Linked DNA regions of Coturnix japonica. The protein of the gene in region 2 purifies or fractionates together with the protein of the main gene of each other region. This does not show direct contact. Links are inferred from orthologs where the notes say so. Each region holds a gene or a part of one and is shown on either strand. Other genes may lie near its edges.

Region 1 (3,519 bases), on a different chromosome or scaffold from region 2:
AAGGGTAAAACTGCAGCCTGGGATAGCCAGAGCAAACTAGCACTACTTGTCCATGTGGGCTTGCTGGTATCTAGTAACAAGAGAAGAAAGAACCCGGCTATCCGACTGCTTCTTTTTGTAAAACCTCTTGCATCTTAGAACACCTCAGATCTCTACCTGCAGTCATGGCTGAGTGACACTTTGGTTCAGAAGATTTAGAGAGCAACTGGCACGTGCAGCCTGCTGACTGGAATACATTGCAGTTCCAGTGAAAATACACTAAAAAAACACACACTCTGGTATCCAAAATAGGGATATGCTACACAATATACATAAAGTAACTTCTCCATTACAGCAGGCATTGCTAAGACTTTGACTAGAATTTTGCATCCTGTTTTCTGCACTATGCTTTCAAAAAAGCATGTGAACTAATTTGACTTTGGATAAATGGATCAGGAATGGTGAGCAGCCAGCACACTTGCTGCAAGGAACACTACAGAATGTTTTTCTTTCCTAAGCTGGACTTAAAGAAAGACTGATGCAAAAAAGAAAAAACACAAAAAAAAAAACCTCCTCTCTCCTGTCATTTACCTGTATTCTACTTGCATAAAGTATTCAGAAAGAAAGCCTTAAGGCTGAGTGTAAAGACAAACTACTTCAATATTGCTGCAGTTAAACAGACAGTGGTTCAGATCAGTGGCTGTACTGTGTTTTCTGAGGGTCCTGACAATCTGTGGACTATGACAAAGGCAACTGAGAAAGGTGACTAAGAAAAGGCAACCGGATTAGTACTCTTAAACTGTGGCATTAAAGATCTCTAACAATTGTCTGGGGGGGTCGCAAATGGGGAAATACTGAAACGTAAGAGAATTCACAATGGGGCAGGAGTGGGGAAGACAGGCACACTGTTCAGCCTCATTATTCTACTCATGGGCTGTTTCAGCAGGAGCTTACCTTTCAATTTCAACAAACTTGAAAGTCCTAAAGCTCTAAGCACCTGTAGCCTTCTGCCTCTCCAAGTTCCACTTACAAGCTATAAATACTACCAGCATGATCAACATAACCCAATTACTTGACCCTCTACTACTCCATTAGTAGAGTAAGACACTTATATTTGCCAACTGGAACAAGAGCCACCAGTGAAGATAACGTGCACTGTTCTCAAACTGCTGCAGATAAAACCATAATATGAGGTAGGTGGTGCAGCATTTTTAACCTGTTTGCTGCTTGTCTCAAATACTCCGCAGCCCATGAACGAAGGAGAAGGGATGGTGATTTTTGATAAATTTTGCTATACATTTTAAAATAGAAAACCATTTGATCTATTATGGTGAAAAGCACCTTTTGATGATAACATTTATTAAAAACGTCTGCAGCTTCATTTTCTGTGCCACCAACCAGACTAGTTACACGCTGAATGCAGTTTCCCAGCTGGGAGCTGAATTTGTTGTTTATTTCTTTTTTGAGTTCTGCCAGACTGCAGTGAGAACAGGCACATGCATGACATTAATTTTGTTCTCCTTTCAGTGCCTGGAAATGATGTTCAGTGAATGAACAAGATATCTTTTGGAATAGTAAAGGTAAGAAGAGTTGACATGAGGTCTGTGTATGACTTTGCCAGCATAACTGTGGTGAAGTCAGGCAAGAGGTAAACTGGCCATGCCGTACACTGGTACCAAGAATGATCTGCATCTACAGCAACATGTCTCTGCAGACAAAGCCTCAGAACTGTAGATGCAGCCTTTGCTCAGAACCAATAAAACAAATACTTAAGTCAGGGCATTAAGTTTTAGGTTCATCCTTACTATGAATTACAGTTTGGAACTAGAGGATGTGACTACAAAATAAGGATGAACAGATTTGCTTAATTCAGAACATTAATCCAATGGGGTTTCTGGCACATTTTCAAATACTGTATTAGCTAATGTATTTAAATAGTAACATTAGAACTTCTTTTGGGGAAACCAATACAACATTTAAAAAACGCCTAACAAACAATCCCAAGCTCTAGAAAAGTACATAACTTGCCAGGACAGAGATTTGGGCTTTATTGTATTATGGACTTTAAAAGTACTCTTTAAAAAAAAAAACAAAAAACAAAAAACAAAAAAAAAACAAAAAACCCACAGCCTCTAAATTAAAGCAACATACGACGAAGATGAAAAAATGGAAAAGGGGAATATGACCTAAGCCCCAGTATTTTCATGGTCTGTATAATTCTGGAGCAAGGATTTGCAGTTTATTAAAGAAGGTAAAATACACCATGTTCATATAAGCAGCAGATGAAAATCACTTACCTGTAATGAATAGACTCTGTTAGTATGCCCTTGCAGCGTGTGCAGACAGGTCTCGGTCTCTGGATCCCACACTTTGACCATAAAATCATATGCACCACTTACAACCCTTCTTCCGTCATACTGAACGCATCGAACTGCAGCTACGTGGCCCATCAGAACATGTAAACACTGGCCCGTCTCTATGTCCCAAACTCTCAGTGTAGCATCTCGAGAACCACTGACCACTCTGGAGGAACAAAAAAAACCCCTCCTATATTTAGCGTTGGAAATAAGAGCATTAAAACAATGAGATAGTTATAAATCAGTTACAAGTTTTCATCTGGAACACTAGATAGCATTTGTCCGCTAGCCACCGAAGATCTGGTTTGACACAACAGTTCATCAGGGTTGCAAATGACTTGAGTGCATTTCTTCCTTGCTCTGCTTGTCTCTCCAGGATCCATTTGATATAATTAGCAATCTATTTAAAAAGCACTTCAGTCATGAACAGCAAAATGATGCCACGAGAAACTATGTGGACCATTGTATCCATCCATGAAAGCTTATGAATATGCCGAGTTCAAATTAGCACTTTGAGCATCCTGCTTAAATGACTGAATTAACTAATTATAACAATTAAAGAAGATCCTTCTTTAGAAGTTATACTTTTAGCAAAGGAATGATTATTCTGCTTGTTTGCTTTTTTTTTCAGTTTATACTTTTAAAAGCCTTTTTAGGCAAGCACAATTTTAAAAGTGAGAAGGAATTAATATTAATGGCACAGATAAAGAAAAACCTCAGCATTCTTCAAAAAAGAGAAATGTAACCAACAGGCACTCTGACAACAGCACCGTGCCACAGCCAAGTAACTCTGCCAATGTTCCTTGAACCAAGACATGAATTTCTACCGCAGAAATGATGATACAGTAAGTTAAAATGTTGATAAAGAACCGCACCAACAATACTAAAGTCACTCTGCAGAGAGAGTAAAAGTCTGTAACGTACAAAAAGCTAAGAATAAATTATTTGCTGTGGTAGACTGGATCGGGTTGTAATGAAGAATGAGTTTTAGAATAAGGTAAAAGACAGCTTTATAAAGTTCCTGACTCTCTTAGTTTTCTGTTCTTTAATTAATATCCATATGCCTTTGCTTCAGTTAATAATCTCCTCCCTTAGTCAACTGGCATACTTTAGTTTGGATGCTCCGCCTGTTTTGTATTTCACTCAGTGTCTGATCAGACACCCCAATTTAACAAGTGTTTGT
Region 2 (3,519 bases):
GGATGACAGGAAATGGCTTTAAGAAAGAGATTTCCATGATACTGAAAATGTGGTTTCAGACCTGAGAACTTCATTATCTATGAACGTAAGCATCAAGAATAAACACAGATGTGTGCCACAATACCCACTTGGCACTTTCCTTGGCCACCAACTAAGCTGTTTAAAGAGCCTTTAACCACTGTGCACAAAACTGTTTTCATTTCTCTTCCATTCCTAGATTTGCTTTGTCTAAAGTTTACATCTAATTAACTAAGATACCAGTTCATCTTCTTCCCCAGGTCAGCTATAGATTCCTGACATTCACTCAAATAACCATTTTGACAGGAAAATTAAGCCTAAGTAGAAAAGTTGGTTTTGTAGCAAGATGACTCAACAACTGAGTTTTGAGATGTGATAAGAAAAACAAAATCATAGACTGCACTGGGTTGCAAAAGCCCACAATGATCACCCTGTTCCAACCCCCTGCTGTGTGCAGGGTCACCAACCAGCAGCCCAGGCTGCCCAGAGCCACATCCAGCCTGGCCTTGAATGCCTGCAGGGATGGGGCATCCACAGCCTCCTTGGGCAACCTGTTCCNAGCCACATCCAGCCTGGCCTTGAATGCCTGCAGGGATGGGGCATCCACAGCCTCCTTGGGCAACCTGTTCCAGTGCGTCACCACCCTCTGGGGGAAAAACTTCCTCCTCAGATCCAGCCTGAACCTTCCCTGTCTCAGTTTCAAACCATTCCCCCTTGTCCTATCACTGCCACCCTCACAAACAGCCATTCCCCCTCCTGTTTATACGTTCCCTTCAAGTACTGCAGGGCCACAATGAGGTCTCCCTGCAGCTTTCTCCAAGTTATGCAAGCCCAGAAATAAGAACAAAGCATCACCTGAAGTTGGTGGACAAATCCAGCATTAGGATTAATACAGAACCTTCTTTCTTGAACGTAAGTAAACGCATCCCTTAACAAGAGAAAGAGACAAAAAACACTTCAGTGGAAAACAGACTGTAACAGATCTGTGGGGCTTCAGGAGTTCAGGTTATCAGTTCTGGGAAGCACGCAGCCTTCTCACAACTGCTTTGCTTAACTGAACTTTTCTGTGCAGAACAGAAGGCAGTAGCTGTAACACACTCTCTGCCCACCCCAATCTCCAGCCTTCTACTTGCTGGCCTGTTTTCAACATGCAGCTTGAAACATGTCTTGTAACAGCCTCTTGGGGTCCCTCTTACAGAGTGTGACAGCAAGGCACCAGTCTGTGGGCTGCCATTAGCAAAAGGTGCCTGCTTCTTCATGGAAGGGTGAAAGCAAATATTCAGGGGAAAGAAATGGAATCGTCTTCCCCATGTGAAAGCCTTCACCCAGCCTCAGGGGCAACAAGTGGTTTATACGGCAATACAGGACTGTGCATTCCCCCCAAATTTATTATCCATTTCAATTCACGTGACTTGAATTAAAACCATTACATCTACAGATATACCAGACTGCTTCTCTGCTCTTAAGTACCCTCTTACTTCTGCCTTATTGGACAGATCATGGACTACACAAACTCTGCTCTTACCTGTACTTCACCCCGAATGTTTCCATGATGTATGCAATAACTAAGGCAGCACTGAAACAAAAACAAAAACACATTTCTCAAAGTCACTAAAATAGATTCCAGTGGTGTAAAATGAGAACGAGCAGGATGGATGTTCTCCTACCTTCTAGAAATCCCTGCGTTTCCATGGACAAGAACTTTTCCTGAGGAAGAAAAAAAAGCCAAAAAGGCTCTTGTAAAAATGGAAGGAAGTTCTTTGAGATGCAGTTTTAAGTTGTTATGAGCAATTAAACATCAGCAAGGCACAACCTAAGAATAACAAGAGCGTGTTACGCTTCACTCTGTTACTGGCTACACTCCGTGCATCATAGAATCATAAGGTTGGAAAGGACATACAAGATCATGTAATCTAACCATCACTACTGCGGGACACAGAAACGTGGATTCCCACCCTCTGAGGACTGTGAGTAACAGCATCAGCATTCTAGGACCACAATGCAGATTTAAGCTCTCCATTAGAGAGCACACATGAGTCTCAAATGAAGGAGGGATGTATGAAGAGGTTTGTTTTCCCGTTGAAAGCAAAAGGGAAAAACAGCTGACTCTGGATGTGTGTAATCCAGTTCAAGTCAAACAAAATTAACCCCCCCACATTTAAGAAAGCCTCATATTTAAGAGCATCTATCACACACATCTGCTTTAAAGCTTTAAGAGCAATGTACTGGTCAATGAAGGGAAAAGTCAATCTGATTTACCTCCACTTTGTAAACTTCCATCAATAAATTCTTTAGTCTGAAAAGAGAGAAAAAAAAACCACCATCAAAAGACTGGAACTTTGGGATTTTTTACAAAGTTTCCTACTGTTTGCATTTACATTTGGCAGACATTTTTGTCTTGGTCTTTACACATAGTAACAGTCACCCACTTCATTTATGCAGGCTTAGACTCCACTTCAGCTGAACATCTTGATTTGTACTGCAGCTTCTCCTCACCCATAAAACAGTCAGGGATACGCAGCACAGCACGTCAGGGCACTGTGATACAAAGCACCTTTCAGACGTCTTTGGTTGATACTTGTAGGTAAAGGAGAAACCACAAGCATCAACACCAGCACGGCCCAGATCGCAAGACTGATATCTGTGTCTTTCTAAGGTTCCCCAATGATATTTTCAATTACAAAAGGAGGTCTAAGCAATCTAATAAGGCATGACATGATCTAGTGAGGTCTGTAGAATAGTACCAGGTTGAAACAGTTCACTGGATGAGCAGCAAAAGCTGGATTATTTATTGTGGGGAAGATTCCAAGCAGCAGTAAAGCACAGAATCATGCAATGATTTGGATTCCAAGGGACCTCAAGGACCATGTAGCTCCAACCCCCGGCTATAAGCAGGGACACCTCCCTCTAGACCAGGCTGCTCACAGCCCCATCCAACCTGGCCTTGAACACCTCCAGGGATGGACGGGGCATCCACAGCCTCTCTGGGCAGCTGTTCCAGCACCTCACCACTCTCACAGTAAACAACTTCCCCCTGACATCCAACCTCAATCTGCCCTCCTTCAACTCCAAACCATTTCCCCTTGTCCTGCTGTTATCTGCCCTTTCACAGAGCTGACTCCCCTCCTGTCTGTAGGCTCCCTTCAGGTCCTGGCAGGCTGCACTGAGGTCACCCCGCAGCCTTCTCTTCATGCTGAACAAGCCCAGCTCCCTCAGCCTGTCTTTTTAGGGAAGGTGCTGCAGCCTCTGAGCATCTTTGTGGCTCCTCTGGACCCTCTCCAACATCTCCCTGCCTTTCTTGTATTGGGGCTCCAGACCTGGACACAGCACTGCAGATGGGGCCTCAAGAGGGCAGAGCAGAGAGGGACAATCACCTCCTGCCCCTGCTGGCCACCCCTCTGCTGATGGAGCCCAGGATACCAGTTTCCTTTAGGAGAAAGTTTTCCAAAATAACTATGATTCCCCCATGAACTGTCTTCTTTCGGGACAATCTCTTACAGC

The links.
Region 1: the proteins of STYX (region 2) and FBXW7 purify together in Homo sapiens (affinity purification with western blotting; 4 studies listed by BioGRID and IntAct, with this or other methods). This does not show direct contact. The link is inferred for Coturnix japonica from reciprocal best matches to the Homo sapiens genes STYX and FBXW7.

What each region holds. Positions count from the first base shown.
Region 1 is NC_029519.1:29,734,108-29,737,626, forward strand, and holds part of FBXW7 (F-box/WD repeat-containing protein 7), read right to left. Parts: intron 2,503-3,519; coding exon 2,277-2,502; intron 1-2,276. UniProt on the Homo sapiens protein: Substrate recognition component of a SCF (SKP1-CUL1-F-box protein) E3 ubiquitin-protein ligase complex which mediates the ubiquitination and subsequent proteasomal degradation of target proteins.
Region 2 is NC_029520.1:52,842,221-52,845,739, reverse strand, and holds part of STYX (serine/threonine/tyrosine-interacting protein), read right to left. Parts: intron 2,315-3,519; coding exon 2,278-2,314; intron 1,726-2,277; coding exon 1,686-1,725; intron 1,595-1,685; coding exon 1,544-1,594; intron 947-1,543; coding exon 874-946; intron 1-873. UniProt on the Homo sapiens protein: Catalytically inactive phosphatase. Acts as a nuclear anchor for MAPK1/MAPK3 (ERK1/ERK2). Modulates cell-fate decisions and cell migration by spatiotemporal regulation of MAPK1/MAPK3 (ERK1/ERK2).